Anolis sagrei: one gene and its partner. The protein of the gene in region 1 interacts with the protein of each later gene in a pairwise test. Links are inferred from orthologs where the notes say so. Each region holds a gene or a part of one and is shown on either strand. Other genes may lie near its edges.

Evidence for each region. The genes of interacting proteins can lie anywhere in the genome.
Region 2: the proteins of DAPP1 (region 1) and FXN interact in binary tests that used the Homo sapiens proteins (3 or more experiments, as listed by UniProt). The link is inferred for Anolis sagrei from reciprocal best matches to the Homo sapiens genes DAPP1 and FXN.

Annotation. Positions count from the first base shown.
Region 1 is NC_090025.1:26,504,484-26,512,445, forward strand, and holds the start of DAPP1 (dual adapter for phosphotyrosine and 3-phosphotyrosine and 3-phosphoinositide), read left to right. Parts: upstream 1-4,943; 5' UTR 4,944-5,205; coding exon 5,206-5,309; intron 5,310-7,962. UniProt on the Homo sapiens protein: May act as a B-cell-associated adapter that regulates B-cell antigen receptor (BCR)-signaling downstream of PI3K.
Region 2 is NC_090022.1:221,737,620-221,744,762, reverse strand, and holds the start of FXN (frataxin, mitochondrial), read right to left. Parts: upstream 3,007-7,143; 5' UTR 2,958-3,006; coding exon 2,817-2,957; intron 1-2,816.

The DNA of each region.
Region 1 (7,962 bases):
TTCCTGAGCTGATTCCATTTGAAGCAGATGATGAGGGCACGGTGCATTCAAATACAAAATGCCTTCTCTTTTCATCTATTTTGTTGTTGGCACAACAGAACACAAAACATGGCATGAGCCAGGCTTTGAATCGGGCCTCTGCCACCATTTAGTGACATCACTTTTGATGTCACTGTAAACTATAAAACTGATTTTGAAATCACAATTGCACTGAAAAAAGAATGAATTTATTTCTTGTAAATGTTAAACTTTTACAAACTACTTGCTTTCTAGTAACACGGTTGTTTTGATGGATGGAGTTGCTAGTCTCAGGATATTTTTTTCTATCCAAGATATAATCCCACAGATAACCTGTGGTTTTGGGATGGAGGCCAATAAATCTCCTGCTGCTAGAAAGCTTCATGTGTGTATTGAAGCTAGCATTTGAGGAATGAGCATCCGTAATGAATTGGACCCCAAGCTGAGCTGTTGAACCATTTATCTTTACTCAGTACTTACTCGATTGATATGTTCTTCAGGTTTTTGAGGTAAGCAACTTTAGCATCAAGAACGAAGAACCAAAAAGAATGTTAGAATTGATGTATTTGTTATTTGTCTGTGGCTTATAAGATTATCTGAGTCTCTGTCTGTATAAAAAAAAATTACCTCTATGCTATGTGTGTATGAGTATATATGTGTATGTATAAATTTCTTTGTGGCCACATAACACAACTATATATACAATTATATAACAATTGAAAGACACTGGGCTTTTTATAGGCAATCATAAAATACAAACCTCAATAAACATTGCACTTCTTTTGTCTGTGAATTCACATAAAAATGAGGACAAATCTTGTGTGCCTTTAATAGCTGTTTAGAAGAGGAAATGTTAGCAGTTCAAGTCTGCATGACAGGTTTCACCTATTGAAATTTCTACTTGCAGCTATTAAAGGGACAAAAGCTTCTTTCATACAGCCACTCATACTTTCCTCATACTATTTGTTTCCACTCTAATTAAAATTAATAATTAAAATCATACAAATTATTAAAAACTGGTGATACAGCTGTTGTTTTAATATGCTTTCCTGGAATCAGGAAACTTGTGCACCAGCTGTGACCATACCTCAAAAAGCCTGACTTGGCCACGGTGATCCATGCCTTAGGTACATCTGGATTGGACTACTGTAACACATTCTATGTGGGGCTGCCTTTAAAAACGATCAGGAAACTGCAATTAGTGCGAAGATCAGCTGCCAGATTATTAACTGGGGTCAATTATAGAGAGCATACGATGCTCCTATTAAAACAGCTCCACTGGCTGCTGATATGTTTCCAGACTCAATTCAAAGTGCAGGTCATTACCTATAAATCTCTAAACACTTCAAGTCCAGTCTATTTCCTTTGGGATCTGCTGGGGAGGCCCTTCTCTTGGTCCTGCTCAAGCGCGGTTGGTGGGGACAAGAGGGCTTTCTCGGTGGTGGCTCCCAGGCTTTGGAATGTCCTCCCCAGTGAGATTAGATTAGCCCCTACTCTCCAAGACTCTTGAACCAAAACATGGCTATTCAAACAGGCTTTTGACCTTATTTAGGAATCCTTACTGATTATATTTTAGGACTGGTGTTTATTTCACCTCACACTTTATGGACTGATACTGATTGCAATTTGTTTATATCTGCAGAAACTGTTGCATTTTATTGGTGTTTTAACCAGTGGGATTTTATAATTTTATGTGGATTGTTATTGTTATTGTGATATTGGTCAATACTTATTGTATATTTTATGTGTTTGCATTTTGAGTGCTTTTGTGAGCTGCCTAGAGCAGTGCTTCTCAACCTGGAGTACCCAGATGTTTTTGGCCTTCAACTCCCAGAAATCCTAACAGCTGGTAAACTGGCAGGGATTTCTGGAAGTTGTAGGCCAAAAACATCTGGGGACCCCAGGTTGAGAACCACTGGCTAGAGTCCCTCCAGGGAGATGGTGGCAGGGTAGAAATAAATTATTATTATTATTATTATTATTATTATTATTATTATTATTAAGTGAAGCTATCAAACCTGAGATGAACATGGTCTTTGACAAAGATTTTATTTTGTTTTGTTTTTTAAACTCCCCCTTCAAAAGCTTGTAGACGGGAAAGTATAATCAGAAACAGAACCACATGCTATTCAAAGTGGCCACACCTACCTCAAACAGACAAGAGTTCTTTCTCCCACCCTGGACATTCCACGGATATATAAACACCGTTTTCCTAGTTTCCAACAGACCTCACAACCTCTGAGGATGCTTTCCATAGATGCAGGTGAAAGGTCAGGAGGGAATGCTTCTGGAACATAGCCATACAGCCTGAAAAACTCACAACAACCCAGTGATTCTGGCCATGAAAACCTTCGACAGGCATGTAGCCGGGGGGGGGGGGGGGTTGAGGGACTTCAGCCCCCCCCCCCAAATTCTCATGATGCTTCGCGAAAAGGCCTTACTGGTGCATTATTTAAACTGTTATGTTTATTCATATCATGATCTGATCACCATGCTCAATATATCCCATATGCATGGGGTATTGGGGTAACGATACGAAAGGTTTGCTAGGGTAGACCCTCTTTCACTCAGACTCAGCCCCCCCCCCCCCGAATCGAAATCCTGGCTACGGGCCTGACCTTCAACAATACACAGAACCACATACAATTAGCAGAAATAGAAACTCGAAATATATCTGTTCCAAAGTCCAAGATGGAATTAGTGTGTCAAATTGTAAAACTTTTTTACGTGGAGAGGGAAGTCTTGTCCAGCCAGTGATTACTTGGGCAGATTTGGGGTTTTCTTGTGTCTGTTTTGTTCTTGTGTAAAACCTGAAAAGAAAGCTAAGGCAGAAGGTGAAGTGAAAGAGAAAAGCACCCAAATGCTTCTGCTTATGTAACACTAGTTGAAATAGTGACGGGAAAATCCAGGTCAACTTCTCTTAATAGGAAAGTATGTTAATGAGAACTGTATTCACCAAAGTGGTTTTATAAACTCTTCACCATACACTTTATGAAAATTCTAGGACTGAAATAGAAGTGAAGGTGGAAGCTACCTCAAGAGAGAATAATACCAAATAACTAAGGTGGAAAATTTGTGTCTCTTTCGATTCCTGGATTCTTTCTTTTCTAGTTCTCCTCTTTAGCTTTCTGTTTAATTTGACAAGCCTTAGTTCAGCATGGTCAAAGGACATTTAACCAACTACCAAGTTTGCAAAATCTGTGTTTTTTTTTTAATTTGTGTGTTCGTTTTGCTCTGTTAGAAATGTAATACAATGGTATGGTTGCTGATGACACGATAAATAAATAGCATGATACACATGTGGAGCCTCACAGTCTTGAAGAAACCTTTCATTTGGTGTTACACTACTCACAAAAATATACTTTTTGTTCAGTTGTACATGTTTTCATCGTATTGTTCTGTTTGTTCTTGCAAATTATTCGAGGTGACATACATGAGGGGTGGCTTTTTATCCTTACTGCAATCCTGCAATGAAGATTGTGCAGGAACACTGCAAGATGCCCAAAGCTGTCCAATAAAATTCATGCCAGCCTGGGGATTTGGGGGGCTGCAGTCTAAAGAAGTAACATTTCCAAACTCTGTTCATGGCTTTGTGGGAAGTTAAATTTAGGCAAGTTTGCATCCAAGCATGACATTTTAGTCACTTCCCCAAAGTAGCTGTAAAGCAGCCCAATTTTTAACATACTTTAATTCCATTGCTACTTAATAACTGTAATTTTGCTATTGTTATGAATCGTAATGTAAATATCTGATATGCAGGATGTATTTTCATTCAATGGACCAAATTTGGCACAAATACCCGATATGCCCAAATTTGAATACTGGTGGGATTGTGGGGGGAGATTGATTTTGTCATTTGGGAGTTGTAGTTGCTGGGATTTATAGTTCACTTACAACCAAAGAGCAATCTGAACTCCACCAATGATGGAATTGAACCACTCTTGGTACACAAAACTCCCTTAACAAACAGAAAATACTGGAAGGGTTTGGTGGGCACCGACCTTGAGTTTGGGAGTTGTTGTTCACCTACATCCAGAGAGCACTGTGGACTCAAACAATGATGGATCTGGACCAAACATGGCATAGATACTCAATATGCCCAAATGTGAACAGTGGTGGAGTTTAAGGGAAAACAGACCTTGACATTTGGGAGTTGTAGTCACTGGAATTTATAGTTCACCTACAATCAATAAGCATTCTGAACCACACCAACAACAGAATTGGGCCAAACTTCCCATGTAGAAACCCCATGACCAACAGAAAATACTATGTTTTCTTATGGTCTTTGGTGACCCCTCTCAAACCCCCTCTTGACCCTCCCAGGGGTTCCAGCCTCAAGGTTGAGAAATGCTGCCCTAGGCTGAGGTTTGAGCCACAACATGATGTACTGTAGCAGTTTGAGTCCTGGACAAGGACATAGGGGTACCAGGGTTCAAGTCCCGGCTTGGCTATGGAAGCTTACTGGGTGGCTTTGGACAATTCACACTCTCAGCCTCAGATGAAGGCAATGGCAACCCTCTTCTGAACAAATCATCCCAAGAAAACCCTATGATCAGGTCACCTTAGGGTAGCCATAGATCAGAAATGACTTGAAGGCACACAACAAAAAACTGACACTGTGATCTGATTCAAAACACACAAGAAACCCAGAACATGGAGCAACAAACTTCCTTCTTTCGGTGCCTAAAATCAAAACAAACATAGACTAGTATTTTTATCTTCTGTTGGCTTCTCTGCAGCAAAAGAATTACTGTAAAAAGAAAAGTGTGCAAAGGATTGGGTTGTTGGTGTTCTTTCTTACACACCTGTGTACACCTTTGGGCACACTGGCAAAAACTTATTCAGGCAACGCCCCTGGCTTACATACACACAACAGCAGAAGAGGCGTGGAACAGCCCCAACTGCATTCTCCTGACGTCCTCCCCTCTTCTGTCTGCCTGAACTGGAGAGGCAAGGGAAGGTCCTTTTGGTGCTGGCAGGGAGGGACTGTCATTTTCACTTCCTCATTCCCCTTGTGCAGCAGCAGAAACAACACCAACTTGCTGAGAAATGGATTGCTCTTCACAGAGAAGAGCCAGAATTTGAAGCAAAGGGATGCCAGCTGGCTTGCTTTTTCCTTGCTTGTTGTCTCTGCGGCCAGTGGTACCCTGAAAAGAAGCAGCAGCAGAAGGCTGGCAGGTGTTGCGAATGGGCAAAGCCAAGATGGAAGAGGAAAGGCGGATGACCATCCAGCAGGAGAATCAGGACCGTTTGAGGCATGGCAGTCCAGAAGAAGAGCTTCAGAGCCTGGCGTAAGCACAATTGCTACAATTACAGTAGACGAGGAGCCCTCTTTTCTCAGGAGAGCTTTCATTAATTTATGAACACCTGGTTGACTTTGGTCTCTTCTACACTGTCTTATATCCCAGGATCTCATCCCAGATTATCTGATTTAAACTGGATTATATGAGTCTCCACTGCCAGATAACCTGGAATAAACAGATAATCTGGATCAGTTCCTGGAATATAGGACAGCGTAAATCCAACCTTTATCCAGCTGAAGTATGCTTACCATCAGAAGGGCCTACCCTCATAGTTCTCCCTTCTTTTATTGCTTTTGCTTTAGCTGAGATCCAATAGCAGATAATAACTTGCTGTACACTTGTAAGAAGACTTGTACTGAAACTTAGCAGAGAGTTCGCTTGGTATTCTCTTTCTAATACACCCATTTATAAAGAAATAGGGAAAATTCATTTTTTTGTGTTAGATTGGTGCTAAACCTGTGGGTATCCTGATATTTTGGCCTCCAACTTCCAGAAATCCTAACGGCTGGTGAACTAGTTGGGATTTTTGGGAGTTGTAAGCCAAAACACCAGGGTACCAACAGGTTGAGAGATTAGGATCCGCATCATTACATTCAAGAAAGAAGAGGGAAATATTTCATTATGGCAAGAGATTACTACAATGGAGGGGACCAATTTCATATGCATTCAGCTATTCATCTTTATTAGTTTGTGAACCTTCACGAGTCTTGTTTTGCAAGCTACAGTTGTGTGGCTCAAAAGAAGTTCCTATGTAAAAGAGAGAGAAACAAAAACTATTTTTAAAAAGTGGTAGATCAGAGGTGATAGAGGGCAAAGACATGCATCACTTGCTATCTCCAGTGACGTCATAATATCTGGTATTGCGCATGCAGCTCAGACAGCCATAGAACTCAGTACCAACTCAAATTGCAAAGTTACATTTTAAAACAAGAAAGCCATATTGGTTCAGGGGAAAAAACTTAGGAAATTCAGATCGGAATTAATAATTTGATCCTTTGCCCTTGCCTATAACAAAAGTCCTTGTCAGTAAGGGACAGCCACATGATTAAAATAAGGACAAAACAAAGATGAAGCTATTAAAATTCTGCATTTATCACAGCATCCTTGGGCCAAGATCCTATTTGAATCAAACTACTTCTACAAAGGACCATAGCACAAAAAAGTGTCATTTTGCTCATCATGCAAAGAAGCATGTATCTTCTAGATCAGGCTAGCTGTGTTCACAATGAAAAGAAGTAATGATCAGAAGAGTTTTCCACATAATTGGTGCTAAATACAATTGGGTTTTTGTTGTTTGTTTTGTTGTTTGAGAAGATAATATTTTGAGGTTGAGATACTGGATCTCCATATAGTAACAATGTATAGATATGAGAAAAATAGTATTTTGGGTTGTTGTAGGTTTTTTCGGGCTATATGGCCATGGTCTAGAGGCATTCTCTCCTGACGTTTCGCCTGCATCTATGGCAAGCATCCTCAGAGGTAGTGAGGTCACCTCTGAGACCTCACTACCTCTGAGGATGCTTGCCATAGATGCAGGCGAAACGTCAGGAGAGAATGCCTCTAGACCATGGCCATATAGCCCGAAAAAACCTACAACAACCCAGTGATTCTGGCCAGAAAGCCTTTGACAATAAATAGTATTTTGTTGTTTAAACAGTTTTGAAAGGCTTTCATATCTATTACAACCTGATATCATAAAATTACCAATTCCTGTTTTTATACTCCCTGTGTATGTTGGCCACCGGTGGTGCAGTGGGTTAAACTACTGAGCTGCTGAACTTGCTGACTGAAAGGTCAGTGGTTTGAATCTGGGGAGCAGGGTGAGCTCCCACTGTTAGGCCCAGCTCCTGCCAACGTAGTAGTTCGAAAACATACAAATGTGAGTAGATCAATAGGTACCACTCCGGCGGGAAGGTAACGGCGCTCCATGCAGTCATGCCGGCCACATGACCTTGGAGGCGCCTATGGATAACGCCTGCTCTTCGGCTTAGAAATGGAGATGAGCACCAACCTGCAAAGTCGGATATGAATAGACTTAATGTCAAGGGGAAACATTTACCTTTACTTATGTTTGTAATTCAATTAAATTAGATGACATAAATATAGTACTTTTTAGTGGTTCTCTTTCTCATCAATACATGATGAATATGATGGACTACTAAGGATATTTTTACCCAGGACTGGGGTGATTTAGAAATGAATTTCCAATCTGTTGTGGTTTGAGGGACTCAGCTAAATTGAAAGTAATGATTTTGTTGCTTAAATGACTAAACCCTTTAGTGACATCATGTTCTTGACACCACTGACTTTTCTACAGAACAGTAAAAATGTCCCATCAATAGTATGGCTGAGAGTGTGCGTCTCTGGTTTTCAAATGAAACATAAAGAGCCTTTTCACACTGCACAATTATAGCATTTTAATTCCACTTTGCCTGCCATGATTGCATCCTGTGGAATATTGGACTTTGAAGTCCAATATGACTATCTAGCTGAGAATTTGGACTGCTGCAGAATCATAGAGTTAGAAGAGATCTCATGGGCCATCCAGTCCAACCCCCTGCCAAGAAGCAGGAAAATCACATTCAAAGCACCCCCAACAGATGGCCATCCAACCTCTGTTTAAAAGCCTCCAAAGAAAGAA
Region 2 (7,143 bases), on another chromosome or scaffold:
TGCAGTCTTGTTTAAAAGGGTCCCGCCAAGTATTATGATGGATAAATCATTGTGATAAATAATGCTATTGAATAACAATAATAGTTATGGTTTTTCTAGAAAGGCATGCACTATTCCACTCCTATCAGACAAACAAAATCCCTGTTTGCAAACTCCCTTCGTATCCTAACTGAACCCAATACCACTTGAATTGGCTTTTTGTCAAAAGCTCTGATAATATATTAACTTGCTTGCTCAAAGTGATCTGTCTTAGAAAGATGAGTGACCGCCATGATAAGAGAGATGGAAACATCACATTCTTGATATTTCACAGTTGAAATTTGTGCCTACATCTTATTAATTTTTCCTTTTGTAATTATTTTTTGGGGGAGGGGGTGCTATGTAGCACAGTATCTCAGCAAGATGAAAAAAACTCTCTTTCCTTAAGAACACCAAAGAAAATATTCACACTAATAAATCAGGGATAAAATTCTAGGTTGTAATTTAAATTAGAAATATTTCTTATTTCTTCCATCATTCCCCCAAAACCCACGTTTACTTGTGCTTCTCCCCAAAAGGGCCATTGTGAGAGAGTTATGGGACAATCTACACCAGGGGTCCTCAAACTAAGTCCCAGGGGCTGAATACGGCTCTCCAAGGTCATTTAACCAGCCCTCACTCAAGGTAAACGTAAGTCTGAAATGACTTGAAAGCACACAACAACAACAATCCTGTCTCATCAGTCAAAAGCAGGCCCACACTTCCCATTGAAATATTAATGTTTATATTTGTTTAAATTGTTCTTATTTTAATTATTGTATTGTGTTTGCACTACAAATAAGGTATGTGCAGTGTGCGTAGGAATTCATTCATGCTTTCTTCAAATTATAATCTAGCCCTCCAACAGTTTGAGGGACTGTGGCCTGGCCCTCTGTTTAAAACGTTTGAGGACCTCTGATCTACACTCTCTTAGAAAAGAGAGTGTAGATCAGGAAAGGAAAGGTGGCATTAAAATGCCTAACATTTCTCTGCTACCACCATTCAACACAGGCTATACACACACATACACACACACACAAATATATATAATTTCATTTGTTACCCACTTCTCCTCATAGCTCAAAGTATTATTACTGTATTTATAATTATTATTTATAGTATTTATATTCTGCCCTTCTCACCCCGAAGGGGACTCAGGGCGGATCACAGAACACATATACAGAAAACATTCAATGCTGATTATACAATGACAAGACAGACAACAGAGAGAGGTAAATATAGGCTTTTTCTCATCATTCAGGATCTTTTTGAGGCTGTGCTTGGCCCCGGACACAGGGGGGTGCTGTTGCTCCATCTCCTTGCCAAAGAGCTTTCTTTGTTGGTAAACTTTCCTCTGAAAGCCTGCCTAAAATACCTCTCAGCTCAATGCAGTTCCTATTCAAAATGCCTCTCCTCTCCTATTCAACTATTCACATTACTGTTTTCTATCTGCTAGGTGGGCGGGGAACTGGGATGAAGGTCAGGAGCTCACCTTGACCCGTCTTCAAATTGTCAACCTTTCAGTTGACAAGATTTACTGCGGCTGTAGCCGGTGGTTAACCTGCTGTTCTAAAGCCAGCCCTCTGGAGTACAATACAGTTCCAGATAAAATTCAATACTATAATACATAATACAAAAGTTAAAATACAATATGAATAGAATGTAAGTGGCTATGTATGTGAAAAAGAGATTGCAACCTTAAAAAAAGGGGGGGGGGGTTTGGGACAGTGTCATAATTGTATGTGACTGGCCGGGAATTCTGGCATCAGCAACAACAACAACAAAAGACTTATGCAAAAGTTGGACTTCTGCCAATCAAAATGTCAACATTGTCATTTTGAGCCACGTAGCTCAAGTGCATCAATACTACAATGTAGACACACCATGAGATCATGGGAGTTGTCGTTTGGTGAGGCAACAGCACTCTTTTGGCAGAGAAGGCTGAAGATCTTGCAAAACTACAGCTCCCGGGATTCCATTGCCTTAAGTCACGTAGCTCAAGTGCATCAATACTACAATGTAGACACACCATGGGATTATGCGAGTTGTAGTCTGGTGAGGCACCAGCACTCTTTTGGCGGAGAAGAGTGAAGACCTTGCCAAACTACAACTCCCAGGATTCCATAACCTTGAGTCACGTAGCTCAAGTGCATCAATACTACAATGTAGACACACCATGGGATCATGGGAGGTGTAGTTTGGTGAGGCATCAGCCCTCTTTTGGCAGAGAAGCTTAAGACCTTGCAAAACTACAACTCCCAGGGCTCCATAGCTTTGAGCCATGTAGCTCAAGTGCATCAATAATACAATGTAGACACACCATGGGATAATGGGAGTTGTAGTTTGGTGAGGCACCAGCACTCTTTTGGCAGAGAAGGCTGAAGATCTTGCAAAACTACAGCTCCCAGGATTCCATAGCCTTGAGACATGTAGCTCAAGTGCATCAATACTACAATGTAGACACAGCATGGGATCATGGGAGTTGTAGTCTGGTGAGGCATCAGCACTCTTTTGGCAGAGAAGGCTGCAGACCTTGCAAAACTACAGCTCCCAGGATTCCATAGCCTTGAGACATGTAGCTCAAGTGCATCAATACTACAATGTAGACACAGCATGGGATCATGGGAGTTGTCGTTTGGTGAGGCACCAGCACTCTTTTGGCAGAGAAGGCTGAAGATCTTGCAAAACTACAGCTCCCAGGATTCCATAGCCTTGAGTCCGCCTGCAAGCTCCTTTCCTCCCTCCTTCCCTCCCCAAAGAGGCGCTTATTGGGAGCCTCTGCCCCTTTGCTTGCTCACCTTTGGCTGCTTGGCTTGGAAAGGTAAGGAGGAGGAGGAGGAGGCGGCGGGGGTCCTTCTCCCGGGGCCCCCAATGGCTCTGCAGCCTGCGACCCTCCTCCATGCAGCCAAAGGGACCCCAGCTGCTCGGGGCCTCCACATGCTGGAACCAGGCGCCAGGGAAAAAGCCCTGCCTCCTCCCACAGTGACGCCAGGCAAGCGACAGAAGAGGAGGAGAAAAAAAAAGTAAACATCGCCAGGTGCGCTGCTGCCCCCAAGTGGCCACGCGAAACACTGCAGGGCCTGGTTGGTGTTTCCTCGGCAAAATGTTGCTCAGAGGGGGTTTTTTTTTGCCTTGGTCTTTTACAGTGCTTTTACAGCAGTGGTTCTCAACCTTCCTAATGCCACAACCACTTAATACAGTTCCTCATGTTGTGGGGATCCCCAACCATAAAATTATTTCTGTTGCTACTTCATAACTGTAATTTTGCTACTGTTATGAATTTGAATGTCAATATCTGTTATGCAGGATGTATTTTCATTCACTGGACCAAATTTGGCACAAATACCCAATACGCCCAAATTTGAATACTGGTGGGGGTTTTGTTGGGGAGGGGTTGATTTTGTCATTTGGGAGTTGTAGTTCACCTACAATAAAAGAGCATTCTGAACTCCATCAACAATGGAATCGAACCAAACTTGGCACACAGAACTCCCATCACCAAGAGAAAACAATGTAAGGGTTTGGTGGGCATTGAGTTTTGGAGTTGTAGTTCACCTATATCCAGAGAGCACCGTGGACTCAAGCTATGGTAGATCTGAACCAAACTTGGCACGGATACTCTATATGCCCAAATGTGAACACTGGTGGAGTTTAGGGAAAATAGACCTTGACATATGGGAGATGTAGTTCACTTATATCCGTGGACTCAAGCAATGGTAGATCTCAGGCATGTAGCCGGGGGGGGGGGCCTCGGGGGGCCTCAGCCCCCCCCCCCCCAATTCTCATGGTGGTTCGCGAAAAGGCCTTACTGGTGCATTATTTAAACTGTTATGTTTATTCATATTATGATCTGATAACCATACTCAATATATCCCATATGCATGAGGATATTGGGGTAATGATACAAAAGGTTTGCTAGGTTAGACCCTCTTTCACTCAGACTCAGCCCCCCCCGAAACTCAGCCCCCCAAACCCCCCCTGAAAAAATTCAGCCCCCCCCCCCCCCCCCGAAACGAAATCCTGGCTACGGGCCTGATAGATCTGGACCAAACTTGGCACGGATACTCGATATGCCCAAATGTGAACACTGGTGGAGTTTAGAGGAAATAGACCTTGACATATGGGAGATGTAGTTCTTGGAATTTATAGTTCTCCTACAATCAAAGAGCATTCTGAACTCCACCAACAATGGAATCGAACCAAACTTGGCACACTGAACTCCCATGACTGAGAGAAAACAGTGTAAGGGTTTGGTGGGCATTGACCTTGATTTTTGGAGTTGCAGTTCACCTACATCCAGAGGGCACTGTGGAATCAAGCAATGGTAGATCTGGACCAAACTTGGCACGGATACTCAATATGCCCAAATATGAACACTGGTGGAGTTTGGGGAAAATAGACCTTAACATTTGGGAGTTGTAGTTGCTGGGATTTATAGTTCTCCTACAATCAAAGAGCATTCTGAACCTCACCAATAATAGAACTGGGCCAAACTTCCCACACAGGAACCCCATGACCAACTTTCTGGTGGTCTTTGACGACCCCTCTGACACCCCCTCGGGGCCCTCCCAGGGGCCCCGATCCCCAGGTTGAGAAACGCTGTTTTACAGGATGGGCTAAAAGCCACCAAGGTCTTTCAGTATTTAATACCTACCTTGTTTTTAAATTGCAGTACCACGGCATCAGATACAGTATATGGAGGAAATAAAATGACAATGCAATAACACTATGTAACAAATTTGAAAAACTTTCTGTTCCTAGGTTGTTGTGAGTTTTCTAGCCTGTATGGCCATGTTCCAGAGGCATTCTCTCCTGATATTTCACCCACATCTATGGCAGGCATCCTCAGAGGTTGTGAGGTCTGTTGGAAACTAGGCAAGTGAAGTTTATATATCTGTGGAATAATGTTTAGGGTGGGAGAAAGAACTCTTGTCTGCTTGAGGCAAGTGTGAATGTTGCAATTGGCCACCTTGATTAGCATTGAATGGCCTTGCAGCTTCAAAGCCTGGCTGCTTCCTGCCTGGGGGAATTCTTTGTTGGGAGGTGTTAGCTGGCCCTGATTGTTTCCTGTCTAGAATTCCCCTGTTTTGTGAGTGTTGTTTTTTATTTATTATCCTGATTTTAGAGTTTTTAAATAATGGTAGCCAAATATTGTTCATTTTCATGGTTTCCTCGTGGTTGTTAGAGTGGTCCAGCATTTCTGTGTTCTCAAATAATATGCTATGTCCAGGTTGGTTCATCAAGTGCTCTGCTATGGCTGACTTCTCAGGTTGAGTTAGTCTGCAGTATCTTTCTTGTTCCTTGACTCGTGATTGGGCAATGCTGCATTTGGTGGTCCCTATGGAGACTTGTCCACAGCTGCATGGTATACATGGTATACATGGACTTCAGCAGAGGAGAGAGGATCCCTCTTGTCCATTGCTGAACGTAGCATTTGTTGGATTTTCTTGGTGGGTCTATAGATAGTTTGTAGGTTGTGTTTCTTCATCAGCTTCCCTATGTGGCCAGTGGTTCCTAGTTTGAAAGTGTTACTTCCTCTTTAATTGTGCAGTACTTACCGGTACTTTGAAAGAAGTTGTTATACTCCAGAAACTTCTGTTTTTGTGGCTGCCACTTTTAACTTTTCATATGCTATCTGTAACCTTCTATACAAACATAGAACAAGTTTAGTAATCCTTTTCCATGTTTTTACGATAGAACCAATTAGGAATGCTATAAAAATAACATTATTTTTTGTTATTTTTAATTATTTAAAACTTCCCATAAAAAAGATAACTGTATCTTTTTTTGTAAGAAACTAGGACTGATGTGGTCAGTCTAATGCAATGTTCCTGAATCAGCACCCCAAATAACTCCAGAAACAGGCCTAAAACTAAGATGCCAATAATGTTTTGGTTGGCTCTTCAATTGTTAACACTTTCCAGTGCATTTGTTGTAGATTCCAAACATCCAAATACAGGGAACAGTTCAGAGTTCATCATTATAGCACTATGATCCCACTTAAACTGCTATGGTTTCATCCTAAAGACCCGTTCTACACAGTACATAACGTTCTCCACAAGAGAAGTATCTATCCCAGTATTTCATGGGATCCAGCCCTGGCAGTTAAAGGGGACTCATGGTGCTATTAATTGCGGGTGCATCTACACTGCAGAATGAATGCAGTTTGGCACCACTCAAAATGGAATCACAGTAGTAGTAGTTTCACAAGGTCTTTAGCCTTCTCTGCCAAAGAGAGCTGGTGCCTCACCAAACTACAACTCCCAGTATTTAATAGCATTGAACTGTGGCAGTTCAGAGGGGTGTCAAAAGTATCAATTCTACAGTGTAGATGCACCATTTGTGGTACAGAAGAGCTATGAATGACAACAACAACAGAACTTACCTTGAAACTAGTTGCTATACTCCAAAAACGTTGTTTTTGTGGCTGCCACAAACTATGTTGAATTGGTTAAGACTCTATGAGACAGTTATTGAAAAACTATAGCAAAATGTTCTGCCTTATGTCTTGCAAAAACAAAGTTTTTGTAGTTTGATAAACTTTTTTAATGCTTTTATGATACAAGCAATTAGAAAATGATGTTTATAATCCAGGCACACAATCGTATTACATAATGTAATAATTTAAATATCTCTTTGGAAACAAATCATGATTTTCACCTGCTCAACAATATTCTCACCTCACTACCTCTGAGGATGCTTGCCATAGATGCAGGCGAAATGTCAGGAGAGAATGCCTCTAGAACATGGCCATACAGCCTGAGAAAACCTACAACAACCCAATATTCTCATTGTAATTGAAGAGAGCACTCTCTCAACCTCAGAGGAAGGCAATGGCAAACCTCCTCTAAACAAACATGGCCAAGAAAAACCTTCAACTTGAAAGTATACAAGAACAATATATGACAAAACACTAAATGCCACAGAATCCAGATCACCTGGAAATGTCAAAATTTCTATTTGCTCACTGAAGACACCAAACAAAAAGGAACACAGGAAGTGGCCTTACACCGGGTCAGGTTCTCTAAGGTCTGTGCTAAACTCTTTCCAACTCCATTTGCCATTATATAAACTGGGGCATTTCTGGGGAGACGCGCTGCACACTTTTGAGTCGCCTTTCCCCTT